4 linked regions of the Saccharomyces cerevisiae S288C genome follow. The protein of the gene in region 2 interacts with the protein of the main gene of each other region in a pairwise test. Each region holds a gene or a part of one and is shown on either strand. Other genes may lie near its edges. The genes, in order: CCM1, TYE7, MGA1 and YAP6.

What was found.
Region 1: the proteins of TYE7 (region 2) and CCM1 interact in a two-hybrid assay, tested with the Saccharomyces cerevisiae proteins (one large-scale study listed by BioGRID).
Region 3: the proteins of TYE7 (region 2) and MGA1 interact in a two-hybrid assay, tested with the Saccharomyces cerevisiae proteins (one large-scale study listed by BioGRID).
Region 4: the proteins of TYE7 (region 2) and YAP6 interact in a two-hybrid assay, tested with the Saccharomyces cerevisiae proteins (one large-scale study listed by BioGRID).

What each region holds. Positions count from the first base shown.
Region 1 is NC_001139.9:788,912-795,642, forward strand, and holds CCM1 (Ccm1p), read right to left. Parts: upstream 4,143-6,731; coding exon 1,548-4,142; downstream 1-1,547. Other genes in the region: GPC1 (glycerophosphocholine acyltransferase), read left to right, coding at 120-1,418; Ras family GTPase RSR1, read right to left, coding at 5,763-6,581. UniProt on the Saccharomyces cerevisiae protein: Regulates mitochondrial small subunit maturation by controlling 15S rRNA 5'-end processing. Localizes to the 5' precursor of the 15S rRNA in a position that is subsequently occupied by mS47 in the mature yeast mtSSU.
Region 2 is NC_001147.6:975,688-980,300, forward strand, and holds TYE7 (Tye7p), read right to left. Parts: upstream 2,383-4,613; coding exon 1,507-2,382; downstream 1-1,506. UniProt on the Saccharomyces cerevisiae protein: Transcriptional activator of glycolytic gene expression, such as enolase genes (ENO1 and ENO2), glyceraldehyde-3-phosphate dehydrogenase gene (TDH), phosphoglycerate kinase (PGK1), phosphoglycerate mutase (PGM1), pyruvate kinase (PYK1) and triosephosphate isomerase (TPI1) genes.
Region 3 is NC_001139.9:984,947-990,367, reverse strand, and holds MGA1 (Mga1p), read right to left. Parts: upstream 2,320-5,421; coding exon 949-2,319; downstream 1-948. Other genes in the region: 6-phosphogluconolactonase SOL4, read right to left, coding at 3,629-4,396; CPD1 (2',3'-cyclic-nucleotide 3'-phosphodiesterase), read right to left, coding at 4,683-5,402.
Region 4 is NC_001136.10:974,131-979,113, reverse strand, and holds YAP6 (Yap6p), read left to right. Parts: upstream 1-3,331; coding exon 3,332-4,483; downstream 4,484-4,983. Other genes in the region: EXG2 (glucan exo-1,3-beta-glucosidase), read left to right, coding at 1-1,593; SWM1 (Swm1p), read left to right, coding at 1,885-2,397; chaperone ATPase HSP78, read left to right, coding at 4,871-4,983. UniProt on the Saccharomyces cerevisiae protein: Transcription activator involved in the regulation of genes expressed in response to environmental changes and metabolic requirements.

The sequences.
Region 1 (6,731 bases), on a different chromosome or scaffold from region 2:
AGTAATATAAGGTATATTCAATAGAGAAGCTTTGACATCATAAAAGCTCCCATTTAACAAAAAATTATCTCCACATTGTGATACCATTTAGAGTGGCACTCATCGCTATCTTTATCGTAATGTACAAGTTGGACAATAACGACATTGACGATGAAACGAATAACTCTGTTTCACTGACGAGCCTTTTAGAATTTCTCGACCCGATCGCTTCAAAAGTAGTTTCAAAATACTACCATGGTTCTCATCTTTCGAAAGCAGAACAGAAATTGCGAAATTTTGAGGGTTTTAGAAGACGTAAACCCCATCATGAACATGATAGTCATCATCCACATCACCTGAATAGAAGTCGCTCTTTCTTGCAATTAGAGGACTTCAAAGTAAGAGCGTTACAAAGAATTAGGAATCTGGATAAACCCTTGGATTCCATTTTTTTCAAAAACAGCTCAAGGTTGGAGAAAGCATTTTACCCTTTCACACTGTTTAATATATTTTTCATCGGATTTTTGATGGGCAGGTTTCCAGAATGGTTTCATGTTTACTATACCATCCTGTTCTTCGTTCTGATGCCCATACGTTTTTACACATACTATAAAACCAAAAACCACTACTTTCTGGCTGATTTTTGTTACTTTGTGAACATGCTATGCCTATTGTTTATTTGGATTTTCCCATATTCATACAGCCTTTTCCAGTCATGTTTTGCATTCACTTTCGGAACGTTATGCTTTGCCGTTATTACTTGGAGAAATTCCTTGGTAATACATTCTATAGATAAGACTACTTCATGCTTCATTCACATAATACCTCCCTGTGTCATGTACGTCATCTATCATGGATTACCACTCGAATACAAAATCGAAAGGTTTCCGGGAGCAATTATTCAAAGTGAATTGGACATCAAAAAAAATATTCTTTGGACATCCCTTTATTATTTGGTTTGGCAATCATTATACCATTACTTCATCACGTTGAAAAAGTCTAGCAAGATCAAGTCAGGGGAAAGAATGACAAGTTTTGAATATTTAACCACACACCAATTTAAAAACTTTTGGGCAGTTAAATTAAGGTCACCTTGGCCGATGATAATTTACACACTTTCTCAATATTTCTATCAACTATTCACTATGCTATTGTGTGGCATATGGATTCGTTACAAATTAGCTGCGGCCCTATTTTTAACTATAGTATTTCTATGGGCGTCTCATAATGGGGCTACCTACTATATCGACCACTACGGGAAGAATTTCGAAAAAGAAGTTGATAGATTACGTCTTGAAGTTGAGAATTTACAACAAAAGTTACAGCCTGATTCTGATGCAGTCATATCTGATGCCTCCGTGAATGATAAGGATTACTTGAATGTCAACCGTGACGAAGATTTTGACGACTCTTCAAGTGTATCCTCAAAGAGTGATTAAGATAGTTCACTTCATTTATCTGTTAACTTTGAGAGCTTTTATTTACAGGCGCTTTACTATATATATATATGTGCATGCATGGACGCGTATATGTCGTTTCTTGATATATAATCACTTTTAGTCTAATGACTACATGTTAAGTTCTTGTTCCTCCCACTTCAGGGCCTTTGCGTGTGACTTTTTGTTTACTACATCCAGTAAGATTTCAACGCTATTTCTATCCTCGATTTCTTCTAATGCTTTATGCAAATTCCTAACCATGGAATAAGTCCAATTGAAGCGATTTTTTGAAGACAATATGATAGCTATTGCGTCCGAATACTTTCCTTGCTTTGTGAAGAATTCAACCATTAGATGGGCAAATTTCTGATCCTTTGCTATTCTTATTCTTTGGTCCATTTTCAGAAACGGTACAGTCGTCCTAAATTTACCCCTATCATTCCATACTTTCTTTGCTAAGTCCTCATTTTGAAATTCTATAGCGGCTTTCATCACCAGCTCATATAACGTGGTGTCCATCATGATTTTGTGCCTCAAACATGTAATATACCATATATCATGCATTATTAAGTTGAGGTCTTCCGTGGTCTCAGGTTTGGATACTGAGATGGCTTCAGTTGATATTGAATTTTGGTCACGCGTATGGGACGAAGGAATATTACGGTATCCTTCATACAAACGCTTTATGACAGCTTCAAATTCGTGTTGTTGGAAAGTGAAGAACGTCAACCTTCGCAAGAATTCCTTCTGTTGTTTTAAGTTAATGGGAATTGACAAATATGTGTGTAGTGAAATTTTATTGAAGACGTTCACATTAATACTTTCTCTTTGCATTTTCGTCACTTCGTACATAACTTTAAACTTAAACTCGTTGAAATCCTCTGCTTCTTGCGCAAACGAATCAAGTAATTGCCTATATTTTTTGATATCCTCCAACGCCGCTTCATTTGAAGATGTCAATGTATTGCGCGTTCCTCCATTTTCCATATTGAAACTCCAGATTGCGTTAGATTCCGCCAATACTTGTGCCTCCGAATTTAGGTCACTAATTGGAAGAAATGGTAATTTAAATTTGACCAATTTGTCTGTATCATCTAACCTCATGGAGGAATCAAATTCGCGAAGAAATTTTCTTCTCAATTCAATGCCTTTTTCATAACCGGATAAGACTGGCAAATTTCTGGGATCAAATCTTGCATAAGCAAGCATCAAATAATTCAGCATTTCTGGCATTAAAGTTGACTTCCAAATTGTATCTTGATCTACGAGAATGTTTCCTTTCCAATTTGCGCACAAAGTTTTGTACTTTTTCGCGATGAACAAGTAATATAGAGCTCTACTTAATTCAATATCACCATCAAACGCGGCTAATGCCATCATAGCCAAAAATAAATTTAAGTCATCTTTTTTATGTCTGTAAAGATTCTTGTCCTCCAACTCATGAAGGTATTTCCATCCCAGTAATCTTAGAGAGTCTGATTTACCCTCACTGACAACGGCATTACTGCTCGAAGAAGCCAACACTCTTGCCATCATTATGTAAGTGTTTGTTGTAGGCTTTATATTGTGGTCTTGAATTTCTTGAAATAAATCCAAAGCCTTAGGAAAATTCCGTTCCTTCTCGCATATTCGCAGCATTGTGTTATATGTGCAGATATCAGGGAAATGCTTTGTAGATAAAAATTTCATGGTGTCAAAAGTATTCCAGGCTTGCTTAGTCATTTCCTTCCTAGAGTAGAATTGTATTACAGTAGTTAGGTTTTGCTTATTAGGAGTTATGCCATAATCATCTCTGAATTTTGTAATAAAATAATCCATGTCGTGAAAGCTTGAACACTTGGTCGAGTATTTTAAACAATTATTAAGTATTGCTTGCGTCATCTTTGGTACTTTGGAAGGGAATCCTTCTTTTTTGTTAATTCTTTCTTCAGTTATTTTTAATGCCTTATCATACCTCTCTAACAACTCTTTCATTTTGAGGATAACTTTATCGTTAGTACCATCCTGATTAAAATTAGTTGGTTTTAAATTTCCTAAGTTGTTAAAGATACATTCGTACATGTGGGTATTAAATTTTACAACATCTCCATTGATTTGTTCTAATAGCATTTCATCCAAGTGTAGTATACTATGAAATGGCAAATATTTGACTGTACCATTTAACCAAACAGAAAATTCTCTGGAATCAATATCCATGAACCGTTTCTCACTGACATAAAGCCTATCTATGACAGGTGCCCAATTACTGTGTGATCTATCAAAAAGGTTTTTTGCAAGTATGTCGTCGTCTGCTACTCTTTCTCTTATAACTTTTGGTACGAGGTGATCCATTTTTTCTAAAAACGAAGAATGAATCAAATCTGATAGATTTTTGGATTTTTCTTCATTAGGAACAGATGATGTTTTGGTGACATTAACATTCCTTGAGTCTTCTGAGATTGGTGCGATACTATTGCTTTGGTGGCCATCTGAATTCACCGATTTAGTGTTGTGAATGCGTTCTTTTAAAGTATTAGAAAATTCTCGTAATTGTGCTAATTTGAACTCAACGTCTTCAGGTGTTATTATTTTATTTTTACTTAAACTCCCCATCATATTCTTTTCATCTTCAGTTTGTAGGGTATACTTGAAACGCTTATTTATTAGTCGTTTTGAAAATAGAAAGGAAAGTTGAAATGGGAAACACAGCACATTATTCTTGGGGCCACATCTGGCCATGTACATGTTTATATTTATCTATCTGTTAGGACTTGTGAAACAATGCTATTTTCCTGTGCACTATGGACTATGGCTTTGCTTTTACATTTTATGCCTCCAATTTTTCACAATCCTGTCCGACGCTCAGATATTGGTGTGGAAGTAGAGCTAACTCTCTATCTCAGAAAAAAGGTTAGAGCAAGGCAGATCTTTTGCAATAAGAATCAGTTACCATCGATCGATTTGAATTCATATTACTAGTACTTTGCAATACACTGTGTAAGAAGATGTCATAAAGATTGAGAAACGGTCATCAAACTTAATGTAAGCAGAGACACGAGGATTGATGATGAAGTAAGATAATGTGCGACAAGGAAGAAAAAATAATAGCATTATGTAGAGATATCGATTCCCTTTTGTGGGCGCTATGTTCTGGAGGAGAGTTTCTAGTATATTCCTTATCCATAATGTTATATGTGATCTTTATCAACAGTGGAATCCCAACAATAATGCAATTATTCACCCATTTTTCACAAGCAAGCAAGCATTATGAGAGAAGAACGAATGTACAGTCATTTAGATGATAAGATTGGAAGTAGGTCATGATAGTCAGGATTATGTAAAGACACTTGGTGTAACCCTGTATCGGCTGATTTATAATATCGAGAAAGATAATATAAGAAGCGCCTGAGAGTCAGTGGATCGATTATCGAAAATAGAATAGAGACGTTCACGGAGACCCACTGAATGTTTCGTATTAAAGGAGGGATGACTACTAAACCATTTTCACCGCTACTGGTGGCCATTTTGTATTCTTCCATTTACAAGAATTGCTCCCGACTTTTGTTCCATCAGTGGACGATAGACCATTGTCAAACACAGTAATTCTATTTTATTCTTGAGATGAGATGCCGCAATATGACCTGATATGAATCACCCTAAATGTCCGATCTAAACAAATAAAAGGCGTGCGAAACAGCCTCACGACGAGATATGAAGTCGAAAACATCGGCCTAATTTCTGTGCTTTTTAGAAGACTACTCAGATTTTCAATATCAATACAGTGAGTTAGATCTCAGGTTGAGAAGAAACACTTTGATTTTACTAGATAGGAAAGAAAAATGGACTAATTAATCAATCATTTTGTCATCGTTGAAACTTGATAACGCACGCTAAACGATAACGACTATGTTGGAGGGAAAACATTAACGATTACTCTTTTAAGTAATTGCGAAGTATATCTGAGACTAAAGACCCTCTGAATTAATTATATCAATCAACATAAACTATAAGAAACTACAGTGTGAGCTTTAGTTACGAGAGTGTGGATCTGTTCATTTAATATTTTTTATACGTAACGCAGCATCTACCGTAAAATCCCATAGATTGCGGGCACATGGCGCAGTTGGTAGCGCGCTTCCCTTGCAAGGAAGAGGTCATCGGTTCGATTCCGGTTGCGTCCATATTTTTAACATTTCATTTTTTTTGGGTTTAAATTTATTTTCAAACATTATTAATTGATTTCTTTAAAAACTTATACAACGTATGCTAATACTTTAAACTAAACCTTTTAGAACTATAATAAAACTATTTCAAGTAAAGTCTTTTTATCTGATATCTTGATTCATTTATAATAAAATTAAGTGACTATAGAATAGTGCAAGTGGAAGCGTTTTTCTTCTTTTTCTTTTGTTGTGAAGTAGCGCTAATTCCTGTCCTGTTGCTAGAACCAGATTTCGGAACGGCATGTGACGGTTTGTGCTTTTCATTAACCGGAGTAGATTGTTTAACTTTAGCTTGTCCTTGTGAAGATTTGTTATATAAACCTTTTGATGATTGCTTATTGTTTGATTGTTTCGTATCCTGTTTCGCAGAACTAGGGAGCCTGGTTGATGGAGACTCGATTTTGCTAAATTGTTGACTTTGATTTCTTGCGTCTTTAACTGCAACACTTTCCATTTCATTCCGAATGATTTGCCTAACTAAATCAACGAACACTTCATCCACATTGCTCCTCAACAAAGCGCTTGTTTCATAAAAGGGAACTCTACCCCATTTACTGCTTACCTCTATACCTTCTTCCACACTTATTACCCTTTCATTGATTAGATCAGCCTTGTTACCTATTAGAACCATTGGAACGCGATCGGAATCTTTGATCCTAAGGACCTGTTCTCTTAGCTCCATTAATTCTTCCAAAGATTGCCGATCTGTTACTGAATATACCAACAGGAACCCCATTCCTGACTTTATGTATAATTCTCTCATTGCAGTAAATTGTGCTATACCCGCTGTATCTAAAATTTCCAGGTCGAATACCTTGTTATCGATCTCGATGGTTTTCCTGTAAGAATCTTCGATCGTTGGATCATACGTATCCAAATAAACTCCCTGTACAAACTGCACGGTTAAGCAGGATTTACCGACACCACCAGCACCCAATACTACTAATTTATAGTCTCTCATTAGTCCTAATGTTTCCTAGCCAAATATTTCTAAGCGATGATAGAAGCCAAAATATTAGAACGTTGTATGTAAATGTTCTATATCGTTACTAAATAATAGTATTATTGTTCAGTGGAGAGGATGAAATTTCAAAAACTTCTTGGCGTAGTT
Region 2 (4,613 bases):
ACGATCAGTATAATTAAGTCTACAAATGAAGAGAAATTTAGAAACAGATTTTTTGGCACAAAGGCAATGAGACTTAGAGATGAAGTATCAGGTAATAATTTATACGTATACTACATCGAGACCAAGAAGAACATTGCTGATGTGATGACAAAACCTCTTCCGATAAAAACATTTAAACTATTAACAAACAAATGGATTCATTAGATCTATTACATTATGGGTGGTATGTTGGAATAAAAATCAACTATCATCTACTAACTAGTATTTACGTTACTAGTATATTATCATATACGGTGTTAGAAGATGACGCAAATGATGAGAAATAGTCATCTAAATTAGTGGAAGCTGAAACGCAAGGATTGATAATGTAATAGGATCAATGAATATTAACATATAAAACGATGATAATAATATTTATAGAATTGTGTAGAATTGCAGATTCCCTTTTATGGATTCCTAAATCCTCGAGGAGAACTTCTAGTATATCTACATACCTAATATTATAGCCTTAATCACAATGGAATCCCAACAATTACATCAAAATCCACATTCTCCACACAGTCATACTCGTAAGAATTGGTTGAATTTGAGATAATTGTTGGGATTCCATTGCTGATAGCTTTAATATTATGTATAAGGAATATACTAGAAATTCCGAAAACTGCTTATATCAAGACTTCAAGGAATCTGGTATTACTCGAGCCCGTAATACAACACGTTTGATATTTTGTGCGCTTCAGTAGCTCAGTAGGAAGAGCGTCAGTCTCATAATCTGAAGGTCGAGAGTTCGAACCTCCCCTGGAGCAATATTTTTTTGCTAATATGACAGCCCAATATCTCGCTTCGAACAAATTGTCGTCAATCAGAGGGGGGAATACAAAAAGCCCAAAAAACTTCTTTAAGAATATAATGCTGTAAATATATGTTTCGTACTTAGTTTAGTTATGGCGTGACATAATAACGGGTTGTGAATGTAATGAATAGAAAAGGCCGTAATAAGATAATAAAATAAAATAAATGAGAAAAGTTTGAGAAGAGTTCGTTCGTATAAATCATTAAGGTGTATGTGTTTGTTGAAATAAAAAAAATTGATTTTTTTTTATTTTTTCGGTTTTGGCATACATATCCGTCCGTAGCTGAAACGGAATTTCGTCATGTCTTGTGCTTTCTTGGCTATGAACCACGCGTCATTAATGTGTATAAAGGAGGAATAAAATTAGAATTTTTTTTGAATAATACGAAATAGAAAAGAAAAAGGTATGAAAAGTGCGCATCACGATTTATCATCCTTCTTTAGTGGGGATTTTTTTTTTTTATCTTTTTGTATGTTTTTTCCAACTTCTTTTTTTTTTTTGTATTCTTGTCTGCTATGTTATGGCCTTGTTATTTTTTGGGCTTGTTTTTTAAAGTACTTCGCTAAGAAAGAAAAAAATGTCGCATAAACAAAAGAGGAGAAAGGAATTTCTATCGTAATTTTATAATATTGGTGTTTAAGCAAGCGTGCTTTTATTTTTGGTCTTGTTTCAAAGTGTCGATTTCACTTTTCAACCTTTGAACTTCCATTTCGTATAGTCGTTCGTTATTTTGTAGATATAGAATATAGTCAACAGCTTTTTCTAGGATCATGCTTTTATTTAGCTTCGTGCTTGTAGCAGCGGCAGATGGAAGAGGAGTAGTAGCGGCAGTTTCTGCGCCGTCTTCGTCCTGTTTTTTTACAGAATCACCTACTTCGAAAGCTGTTTGTTCACTTGCTACCCATGGGATAATCTGCTGCAGTCTTGCAATCTTTGTGTTGATGTTTATTCTGTAGCGTTTTTCAATCTTGTTGTGAGCTTGCTTTTGGAAGGGGGTCAGTCTTTTTCTTGGAGCCCTCTTTTTCGTTTCCTTAGCATCTAGATTTGTTTTTATAAACGAGTCGTTTAGCTCGATTTCATTCTTAAGTGGGGTACTATCGTCATTATTATCAGTATTTATCATGTTAGGCATTAATTGCAAAGAAGCCGGTTCAAAATCTGCCAACGAAAGGGCATTGTCATCCTCTTCTCTTTTTATCGAGCTGCTAACCTCGGGAGAATGCGAGTATGAGGAAGGATTACTGAAAAACTGATCTGTTGGAAAAAGAGCAGATTCCTCGTTGTTGGAAGATATAAACTGGTCTTCGATTGGAGAGCCTATCGAGGAGCTGGATGCAGAGGAGATAATGTTTTCCAATGGTTCGAACCATGTGGAAGAAGATGCAGAAAGAACTGACGAGGAGTCCTTGTTGACGTTGATATGACTAGCTCCGTCATTTTCATCCGACAACCAATTATCAAATTCAGATTCAGGTTTAATTAAAGTAGTTTCGCTAGATCTAACATTTCTGTCTAAAATAGAGTTCATAATTGTTAAACTTGAAGAGATTTGATAGTGTGTTATTTGTCTTTATTTTTATTTTTGCACTAAAAGTTTATGAAGTGAACAAAAAAAAAAAATAATAGTAAAGTAGAGAGACTTTAGATCGGTACTGCTTGTGGTGCTTTACGCTTAATAAGAAAGAAAATGAGAAAAGAGAGAAATATGTAAAGAATAAAGGTTGATGGTTGGGAAATATAAAATAAGGATGTAATTAAGATAGCTTTACTTTCCCATGAATTGATATATGAAGTGAAAAAGGATGTAAATAAGTTTAAATTTTGGAGATAACAAAAGAAGTTTATATAAGTACATTTGATTGTTGAGGTGAGAAAAAAAAAGGAAACAGAGGTGAAAAAAATTAATAGCAAACGTTGCGTTTTGCATTTCTACTAAGAATGGAAATGTCGCAGACACGGTATCATCTACACTGTGAAAAAGAAATGAAAATGAGAATTGTTATTTGGCGAACTGTGAACGTGCGCAGGGCAGAATCCCATTGTACGGTTCGTACGTGGGCACAATGAATTACTACTAGGGTAAGAAATGACCGCAGCAGCATGAACATTCTAGAACAAAATTTGATTCCTTACCGAATGGAGAGAGGCCACGTTGTTAGGGGAGTAACAGCGCAATGAAGTGAGCTCAATCCCACTCCAGAAGGGCTTGTGTACGGCCGGAACTGGGCTAAGCAGTATCCGCGGGTGAAAGTCAAGGTCAGCTTGTTCCGGTTTCAAAAGGAAGATTTTCCGGGATACCTCTGGGTGTAACATTCAGATGCGTGCGTCATTTATTCTCTACCCATGTGGTGCCTGCCAGATCCGGTAAGTACCGCCCAGCATAGCGTATACACAAGGATGAATGGGTTCTACGACACCGCGGTTTAAGGAAGTTGCCGCATTTGGCATGGTGTGGTGATGTCTCTTTTCCTAAACCAGACTGAGACAGGTTTATTTCACCGATTTTTTTTTGCTTTGGCATAATAGAATGTCCAAGAAGGGTATTTTACTATCTTACACGTGTTTGTAACATAAACGACAATTTTGTAGCACAACTAGGGCATGTCAGTCTGAGTCGTATTAGCGCCCTCCCCCTTACTTCAACAGTATCGTAGGATTGGCATTGCATATACGCCGATTTTAGCGTTGTTAATTGATCATTGCTGGCTTGCCACGTGATGGCAATAGGCTTTCTCTCGTGCTCGACCCCTAATGTCAGTTCAAGCAGGGAACGTGCCAAACATGGCTAGTGCATTTTTTACGTAAGCCGCAAAGAGGTTCCTCTTTTCTTAGTGTTTCGCCCTACTGATAAGAATGTGAAAAAGTAAACGATAAGATTAATATAATTAAAAAATGTTTCAATTCTAGACATCGTACCCACAAAGGCTGCCCATATCATATCGTAATACAGATCCGCTTTTCAGATTACATCCGATTTTCAGACTGAAAAGCAGCATAGCGGCAGTATGATGAATACAAGCGCGCTTATCTGTCGCTCTTCTTACTTGGAAAGGGAATCATATTACCCGGCAGGGCGCTGACGGGAGCCGCATTAAATAAGCATACGAAAATCATCAAGGTTATCGGCATTTAATTTTTTAGAGGCTTCTTTATATCCCATAGTTAGATTATTCAATCAAAAGGTTGTAAATGCCTATTAAGTTGCCTCTTGTCATGGTCCCATATTCCCTGAGGCATTCCTGCCAAGAATAATGGATTTCTTTCATGCATAATTATTGAGTATTTGAATCATCTACATCGCACCCAAAGAAATTTGATATCGTATAATTCAGCATATTATTATATACTGTGTAAAAAGATGACATGGGAATTAAGAAACAATCATCAGATTTAGTGGATGCCGCAATACAAGGACTGATAATGTAAAGAAATAAAAGAGAACGCGACACAAAATGCAAGGAAAAATAATAAATGTTACGTAGAAATATCGGTTTCCTTTCCTTGATTTCTATATCTTAGTAATGAACTTCAAGAATATGCTTATTTTACCCAATTATAGCTTTAATCATCAATAGGATCTTAAAAATTATTCTAATATCCACCGAATTTTCGAAAAGTATACTAATTTAAACATTTGGTGTAAGCGTTTAGGTTGCTAACGTAGCAGCAAACGTTGGTATCAATCACCACTTATTGCGCTACATTTCAACAATGTTCTTGAGAAATGGGTGAATGTTGAGATAATTGTTGGGATTCCAT
Region 3 (5,421 bases), on a different chromosome or scaffold from region 2:
GCAGGCAATAGGCATTTAACGCTTACACCTATTTTGCCTGTCTTTTTTTTTTTCTGACCTATTTTCGGCTCTTCTGCAGCTATTTTTCTTCATTTTTCCAATCCTAATCCGGAAAACTGAAGAAATTTACATCTTGGTGAATGCACTCTCCTCCGAACGCGTCTGAATAAATGATGTAACCTTAAAACTTTAAAAATAATGCGGATAACCTAAACAACCCTCTTAGATAAACATCAAGAAGTAACATGCTCATAAATACGTCTCGAATGATTCTAGTATTTAAAAAGCACGGAAGGAACGCCTTGAGAGGACGGAACAAGGCAATGGTTGCAGGCGATAAAGAATCAAGAGGCAACCCTCAAGCTTCCAGCCAGTGGAAGAAAACAGAGATGAAAGAAAAGGAGTGAAGTGCTTGCATAGAAGAGCAATACGTGGCAACAAAGTCCCGAACTTGCCTAAAAAAGCATAATTTAATTACATTTATTTAACTTTATTGCTCCTTCTTTCAAAAGTCGGAAGCGCGCGAGTAAAAAAAATTACAGAGCGAAGGAGAGGCGAAGGATAGATGGGGAACGAAATTATTGTTTTATTTTTCCTTTTTTGTTGGAATGTTAAGCGGATCCTTGCTAAAAGATCTGCTCTACTTTCTTACATTTGAAATTTTTAAAGTTTTCTCAAAAAAAAAAAAAAAATTGGAGAACAAGCGCAGCCGGAATGAAAAAGGCCATAATTTATGTTAAATTAATCATAAGAAAAATTGATAATAGCAAACATAGCTTGTGATTCTTTTTCTTTCGGTTTGTGAAATAATTGCATTCTTCCCCCTTGTATCTAGTATGCAAAAATATGGAGAATGTTCGTTCTTCCCTACGTTCACTGAATGTTCCTTGGTATCAACAGCGGTAACAGTTTGTTCAGTTGGATGCGATGTGTTCTGTTGAAAATAATTCAGTAAGATGCTGGTTTAGTGGCGACTTCACCTTTCGTGATTATAGGTATACTCTTGGGAATTATGCTGGACGTCAGAGAAGTTAAGGTCGATGATGTATTCGTAGTCTCTTGAAGGGGTAGGGCAGTTGTTTTAACAGATTGCATAGACATCCATTTACTTTCAAGTTGAATGATTTCCTCCTTGGAATTCTGTAATAGGGATAAGCTTGTTCGAAGGTCTTTGTTCATGGCATCATTAGTTAGAGTTTTATTTTCATCTTGCGATGCGCTGTTAATATGTTTTTCTATCAAATCAGTGATTGTTGATAGAGAGTTCTTTAAAGTTTGTATATGGTTATCCAAAGCTTGCCTTTCACTTATATTGCTTTTTTTGGGTAGTGTTACATTATTATTACAAACTCCTAAAGCAGGTGAGTTAGAAGCAGAGTTCGAAAGAGAGTTCATCATTGAGGGAAATGGAGTGGAGTAACTGCTATATGGCGGGACTGTAGGGAGCGGTTGCTGCTGCTGCTGCTGCTGCTGGGCAAAAGCTCCAGGATGATACGGCATTGGGTAATTAACAATTGGCAAGGAAGTTGTTTTCAGATCATCTGTCGAAGATAGTGTTCCTGATTTCTTCATCGGAGGTCCAGATAATGCTTGTGGAGAAAGTACTTGTTGCGGCTGCTGAGGCTGGACTATGCTATCTTGGGTGGAAAATTGATTGGGATAGTCATAAGAATTCATCATCCTCGCCGAGATGCTTTGCCTTCGCATCATGTTCACCGTGGGTTGTTGAGGGGGCAGTGAAGATATTAGGTAAGGTCCACTACTTTGTTGCTGTTGCGGTATACTGATATGTGGAGGACTTTGGGATGTTGAGTAATGGACGGGACTGCCCATAAACATGTTTGATGGTTCTCTTGCAGAAACTGGTCCGGATTGCTGAGAGAGAACATTTAACCTCGAAGCATCAACGTAACTGACAGATATTGGTGACAGTATATTCTTTCTTTTACCATCTTTTCCCACACCAGTGCTCTTTCTTTGGATTTTATTCAAGATACCGGCGTTGGCCTCTTTGAAGAAGAATCCAGATGGGTGGGTAAATTTCCATTCAACAAGTTCTTTAACGTTACCATTGTTGGCAGAAGATTGGTCTGGGGAAGGATGAGATAGTTTATGAAACCCGTACATGTGTAGTTGACGAACAAAACTATTGACATTTCCATGTTTGAAATAACGCTTCAGAACATGTGTACTAAAATTAGGGTCATATGGCTTCAAAAAAAATACCGTGTTATCAGTCGGAGACCAGTATATCCATTTATTTACTTCCGGTTCCAGAAGAATTGCATGAAGTTGGTGGACGAAAGTTTTAGGTTGCATGTGGCCACCGGTTCTCTGAGCTATTGTATTTTATGGCGTGGGTGAAAATTCAATATAGGGGTTACAGCTGCCTAACCTTAAAGCGTGTAAAGGAGATCTAGATCTTCTGCAATGATCAGCTACTACCAATATATATATATTGGAAAAAAAGGTAAGTAACGACGTATCAAGATAAAACCCCAAAGGAAGAAAGATGCAACCGAAAGGAAAGCATGGAAAACTTCGAGCTATTCACTACCTGATTACTTCAACGTTAATGAATACCCTAAACGTGATAAGTTTGTGCTTTTCCTTCGATATGGATATCTACTGCCTTCCATTTTCTGCTCTACGGGTCAACAACTGAAAGATTATTTTTTCGGTTCCTCCTTTTTCTTCTCGAAAAAAAGCTTAAATCTTTCAAAGACAAAAAAGAAAGATTGCACCAAATCAGCGCAGAAGGCAGCAACCAGAGAGACGGGGGCGCAGAGTCAACATCATATACGTAACAAGTTGTTCAGGGCGGATCGCTTCACGTCATACAAAGGCGCGGATATGCACTAATCTGCAAATCTCGCAGTCACCGTAAGCCCAAGCCAAAGCGAACCATCGGTGCTAAATCGGCCCGCCCGACTGAGACGCACAGATTCCTACGCAGGCTCTCCTTGTGCCGCCCACGGAGTATTCCGTTCACCCAAAAAAAAATAAAAAACGAAAGGGGCAGACCAGGGGCAGACCAAAGGAGGGGAATTACCGGCGTGGCTAATATTCCTTATTTTGCTTAGAGCACCTTCCGTTCCGCCGCCGCTGCTTCCTAATCTGGGGCCAGGAAACGTCTGCGGCGGGCCAGATTCATTCTCGAGCCAGGAGAACTGCGTAGCTTGCGATAAAGGGGCGAAATTAACCCTTCCATGCAGCTGGCCCGAAGCAATTTTATATTTCGTGTGCTCGCCAAAAAAAAAAACCCTGCTGCGTCCCTTATTCTATTTCCATGGAAATTTCCGTTAGCGCTGTTTTGCAGGTGGTTCCGAGTCATAGCATTAAGATTAACGCGTTGTAACGGTATCACCGGGTGAGCTATGTTTTTCTTTTAAGTTATGCAACCTTCGCGGAGGCTCGGTTGCTTACGGAACTTTTAAGGTTGAGTTTGCCTTCGGTACCCCTTTCCTTTCTGCTGTCAATTCTTCTAGAAGAACTGGGTTTATGCTTCGGGAGTAAGCTCCAACATACGCTGTAAAGAAGACAGTTGTCATTTATTTATTATTATGTAATGTAATTAAGGTTGTCTGTCGTGATTAACGGAGCCAGTTTCGTATAAAGACGAGTGTAATTAGCAGTTTTCAGGAATCAAGGCGCCAGCTTCGTCGTCGAGAAACCAAGTTACTTTGGTTCCGACCATTTCATTAACCAGCACACTAGGTAGTTCGCTATTTTTTACGATTAACACGTCATGCATGATAGCCTTTTTAGCAGCTCCCCTAACGAGAAAGCACACACTTTTAGCCTCGGCTACTACTGCTAATGTAAAGGTGATCCTGTCCTTGGGTGCCTTGGGCGAATTATTACACCATAAAACCTTGCGGTCCATCTCTTCTACAAGGTAATTAAATTCAACCCCGGGAAACAACGAGCATGTATGTCCATCTTCTCCGCATCCGAGTAAGATTAGGTCGAATGATGCAGGCAGCATGGAAGCGTATTCTTCGGCAATCTTTCTATTGGCCGTTTCACCGCCACCGATTAATGATTCGTTGATAGTGTATACAGTGGGGCCTAAGTTCAATTGGTTGCCCTGATGCACTAGCGGGTCCAAAACTGTTTTTTTGAACTGACCATAGTTACTTTGCGGATCCTCAAATGGAACCAATCTTTCGTCACAGAAGAAGATTCTCCATTGTGGCCACTTAATATGTGGAAAAATGTTTTTGTCATTTACCAAACTTTCGTACAGCGCTTGGTTCATCGATCCTCCACTGATGGCGATATTGAACACTGCATCAGCGTCGCCCGTTAACGCCGATTCTTGCTTTTCAAGGATAAACTTGCCGAATTCGTGTATGAGGCTTTTCTTTTCGCTAAACCTTTGTAATTTCACCATTTTTCTTGAGGTGGTTGTGGATTATTTGATGAATGGCATTCTTTGTTTGGAAAACTGCTGCGATAAGACTACGTTCTTCGTCATTTCTTAAATATTATGGATCTTACAATTTTCGCTGCTTAGGGGGGGATTTTTTTAATTTTCAAGGGATTTCCATCCCTTGCGAAGGCAAGCGATCAGTATACGTAAATCTCTAACTAGAACATTTTCAAGTATTGACAGATATGAAAAAAAAAAAAAAAAAAAAAATTCTATATAATTACTTACAGTGCACATAAATGTATGCTTAAACGTCCACCCGTCCCAATACCTCCCATTCTTGAACGGGCCCCACACAGTTGACCACTTTAAACGTTCCTGGGATATTCCAAGATAGCGATGAAGATACGTCAAAATCCCATCTCATTTGCACTTCATTGGACCCATCAGCGTTTCCGGAACCCTTACGTTTCTCTCTTGGAACTAGTTGCACGTCTAGAGCATCTTCAATTCTTTGTTGAACTACTCGCAATGACGCCTGACTTACCGGATGAATATCCGAATAAAGCAATGAGACGTGAGGATGGAATTCCTCGTGCACCCAAGTGGCGGCACGGCTACTTCGCGTCTCAGGATCGATCTCTACGTACATCTCTCTCATGACTTGTGCGACCCCATAAAGTATTTTGTTCTTGTTACACTCGAGCACAATTTTCTTGAAATATTGTTTACCTACACTGCATCCATTGAAAGATACCAAAGGAGCTGCAACAGCATGGGATACCTGTCCCTTACGTCCTTTCTTTGCTGTTTGGTGTGACCTTATCGATTGGATGGCAGCAACACAGGAGGTCAAGATTTTGTTGACATCATCTTTACTATTGCACACCAAATGGGACGTTACCGTCACATGAGGTTCAAAAACTGGTGAATCTGGGAACAACGTTTGAAACGAAAATATAAGCATCTGTAATGTCTCGTAAGCAACTGATCCTTGTGGTGGACAATACCATAATGCTATTGCCATTTTTCTGTGGTTACTGATA
Region 4 (4,983 bases), on a different chromosome or scaffold from region 2:
TCGCCTTTGGAACTAAATATTTTACAAAACAAATTCGCCTCCTACTATGCAAACGACACTATCACCGTGAAAGGTATTACTATTGGCGGCTGGCTAGTAACAGAACCTTATATCACGCCATCATTATATCGTAATGCTACGTCACTGGCAAAACAGCAAAACTCTTCCAGCAATATCTCCATTGTCGACGAATTTACTCTTTGTAAAACCTTAGGATATAACACCTCTCTAACTTTATTGGATAATCACTTCAAAACTTGGATTACAGAGGATGATTTTGAACAAATCAAAACCAACGGTTTCAATTTAGTTAGGATCCCCATCGGATATTGGGCGTGGAAACAAAATACTGATAAAAACTTGTACATCGATAACATAACTTTCAATGATCCATACGTAAGTGATGGATTACAACTGAAATATTTAAATAATGCTCTCGAATGGGCGCAAAAGTACGAACTAAATGTATGGTTAGATCTACATGGTGCTCCTGGATCCCAGAATGGATTCGATAATTCCGGTGAAAGAATACTCTATGGCGATTTAGGCTGGTTAAGGTTGAATAATACTAAAGAACTGACTCTGGCTATTTGGAGAGATATGTTCCAGACATTTTTAAATAAAGGTGACAAAAGTCCTGTGGTGGGTATTCAAATCGTCAACGAACCGCTTGGTGGCAAAATCGATGTTTCAGACATAACGGAGATGTATTACGAAGCATTTGACTTGCTCAAGAAAAATCAGAATTCGAGTGACAACACTACGTTTGTTATTCATGACGGTTTTCAAGGAATCGGTCACTGGAACTTGGAGCTAAACCCAACCTACCAGAATGTATCGCATCATTATTTCAATTTGACTGGTGCAAATTACAGCTCTCAAGATATATTGGTCGACCATCATCATTATGAAGTGTTTACTGATGCGCAATTGGCCGAAACTCAGTTTGCACGTATTGAAAACATTATCAATTATGGGGACTCTATCCACAAAGAACTTTCTTTTCACCCAGCAGTAGTCGGAGAATGGTCAGGCGCTATTACTGATTGTGCAACCTGGCTAAATGGTGTTGGGGTGGGTGCACGTTACGATGGATCATACTACAATACAACGTTGTTTACCACCAACGACAAGCCAGTTGGAACATGTATATCCCAAAATAGCTTAGCTGATTGGACGCAAGATTACCGTGACCGTGTGAGACAATTCATTGAGGCACAGCTAGCCACTTATTCGTCAAAAACAACGGGATGGATTTTTTGGAATTGGAAGACCGAAGACGCCGTAGAATGGGATTATTTGAAGCTAAAAGAAGCTAACCTTTTCCCTTCCCCTTTCGACAACTACACGTACTTCAAAGCAGATGGATCTATCGAAGAAAAATTCTCATCCTCTTTATCAGCACAGGCATTTCCAAGAACAACGTCATCGGTTTTGTCCTCCACTACGACTTCCAGGAAGAGTAAGAATGCTGCAATTTCTAATAAACTAACAACTTCGCAGCTATTACCAATCAAAAATATGAGTTTGACCTGGAAAGCGAGCGTATGCGCACTCGCTATCACCATTGCCGCTCTTTGCGCTTCTCTTTAAAGTAAACGGCAACAGTGTGGTGCGTTTAATGGTGCTAATTATATATACACTTTTCATTATATTATTATAGATACTCAGAACGTAGGCACTATGTAGAAAAGCACCCAAAGTTCGAAATATCATATGATATACTTCTATGCATGTCGTAGAAAAAGACAACAATCTGAATTGCAACCTCAAAAAAAAAAATCTTAGTACTACATCATATTTGTGCCGTGGCCTAGCTGTATCGTGAGAGAAGGGAGAATAATATCAGAGAAGTGGGGTGAGCAAAGTATAACAACCACGATTATGAGTTCAAGTTCTTATAGGGATTCATATTTTCAATACCGCCATTTACCAGCACCACATCACATATTATATGCGGAATGGAATCAAGATATACTGGCGCTTCCGGACGAAGTGGCAAATATTACAATGGCTATGAAAGATAATACTCGCACCGACGCGGAGGAGGGAAGAGCTCCCCAAGATGGGGAAAGGAATTCTAATGTACGCGAGAGCGCTCAAGGTAAGGCATTAATGACAAGTGAACAAAATAGCAACCGCTACTGGAACTCTTTTCATGATGAAGACGATTGGAATCTATTCAATGGCATGGAACTGGAGAGTAATGGAGTAGTGACGTTTGCTGGACAGGCGTTCGATCATTCTTTAAACGGGGGAACCAATTCCAGGAACGACGGTGCCAATGAGCCAAGAAAAGAAACGATAACTGGTTCTATTTTTGATAGGCGCATCACACAATTGGCGTACGCAAGAAATAACGGTTGGCACGAACTGGCTCTCCCACAGTCACGATGAGCAGAACGTGACGTATATGCTGATCATTAGTCAGAAATTGTGGTGTATGGGTACTATGCACAGCCGTTGAGACTAGACTATTGTGTGAGAAATTTTTTTAAAGCAAAACAGTGGCGTAAAATCCACGGAACAAAATAACACCCAAAACAGTTGTACTGCTTTGTTTACTTTCGAGAAAGGCATTTTTTTCTCGGTTTGTTTCCGGCGAAATGATTTTTGGCGCTTTAGATAGATCCGGCTAGTTTTTCGGCGGGGGATAGGCGGTGTTTATATGGGCTGATTTATAGCATGTTAAATTTTTTTTCCGTACTTCATTTAAGTTAAAGTTATTCGCTGCTTGCTGCATCTGCGGAATTGTAATAGCGAATTTAAGAAAGAGCGTACCCGTTTTTGTTTTTTTAGCTAATGCCCCTTTGCATTATGCCGAAGGGTAGAAACTTTGTTCAAGATTATGCTTTCTTTGTAATTTTAAACATAGTCTTGCACTTATTTTTACTGCATGTGGATAAAAGTTTTTCGAATCGTTTGCAGGCAAATGTAAACTATTACTTTTTAATGATTTCTGATACTCTTTGATTCCATTCTGTCATACTTTTTTCTGCATTTGAAACGCTAATTAAGTATTTCTTGGCCCTGCTTCTTTTCCTTTTGATTTCTTTTTTTATTCTCAAGTTTTTAATTTCTGGAGAATCTCTTTTTTTGTTTATTTTGTTAACACAGTTAGTGGAGCCTTGTAGTATCGAGAGTAGACTATCTTTGGAAAGCAATGCGAGTTGAGAGATTGTGGAGTGTACTACAGAACCAATATTAAACACAATCTTTCCTCAAACTGTAACACCGAGTTTTTTTCCCCACCAATCGTGAATCCGATAGCATATACTTTTGTCTAGAAATTTCAATAAACAACAGAATAACGAAGAGTGCTAAGGGACAAATGCAAAACCCTCCGTTGATTCGTCCCGATATGTATAATCAGGGAAGCAGCTCAATGGCTACTTATAATGCCTCTGAGAAGAATCTAAATGAGCATCCTTCTCCGCAAATTGCACAGCCCAGCACGTCCCAAAAGTTACCTTATAGAATAAATCCTACAACCACTAATGGGGACACCGACATATCTGTTAACAGCAATCCTATCCAGCCTCCTTTGCCAAACTTGATGCATCTATCTGGTCCGTCTGACTATAGATCGATGCATCAAAGTCCTATACATCCATCTTATATCATCCCTCCGCATTCAAATGAAAGAAAACAATCAGCTTCTTACAACAGACCTCAAAATGCTCATGTTAGTATTCAACCTTCCGTGGTATTCCCCCCTAAAAGTTATTCCATATCTTATGCACCTTATCAAATAAATCCCCCTTTACCAAATGGACTTCCGAACCAGAGCATATCTTTGAATAAGGAGTATATTGCAGAGGAGCAACTATCAACCCTCCCATCTCGCAATACCAGTGTTACTACTGCACCTCCTTCTTTTCAAAACAGTGCTGATACCGCTAAAAATTCAGCTGATAATAATGATAATAATGATAATGTAACCAAACCTGTTCCTGATAAAGACACCCAACTCATAAGTAGTTCAGGCAAAACTTTAAGAAATACTAGAAGAGCTGCTCAAAATAGAACCGCTCAAAAGGCATTTAGACAAAGGAAAGAAAAATACATCAAGAATCTCGAACAAAAATCAAAGATATTTGACGATTTACTAGCAGAAAATAATAACTTCAAATCATTAAACGATTCATTAAGAAATGACAACAACATTTTAATAGCTCAGCATGAAGCTATAAGGAATGCAATTACTATGTTAAGAAGTGAGTATGATGTCTTATGTAACGAAAACAACATGTTGAAGAATGAGAATAGTATAATAAAAAATGAACACAACATGTCAAGAAATGAAAATGAAAACCTAAAACTTGAGAATAAACGCTTCCACGCTGAATATATACGAATGATCGAGGATATTGAAAATACTAAAAGAAAGGAACAAGAACAACGAGATGAAATAGAGCAACTAAAAAAAAAAATAAGATCCCTGGAGGAAATAGTAGGGAGACACTCGGATAGTGCCACGTAATACAATAAATAGGGAGCAGATATTGATCTCTAGTACTGGAAGATCAACTTTTTGCTTTGGCCTTATAGGTCATATAAATTTTAATAATTAATGTAACAGACAAATCAAGGTGTGATTCTGTTCTGATAAAATTTGTTATTTTCCAGAATGTTCTAGAAGTGTTCTTTCATCTAATGGCATCGCGTTTGAATAGGGGGTGCACGGACTTTTTTTTTTGAATAAACCCCTGTGATTCATTGTATCTAAGCTCATCAAACCCCCTAGTTACTGACTCACGCACACACATATATATACATATATATGCATATGTAAGCATGAAAAGTTTGACTTCTATTATCTATTCCAGGAACCCTGAAACAAGCGAGTGAAAATCTTTCAAGGTTAAATATGTTAAGACAAGCTACAAAAGCACCAATACAAAAATATTTACAGAGAACGCAACTATTAAGGCGAAGTACTCCACGAATATACACTATTGTACAGTGTAAAAGATCTATTTG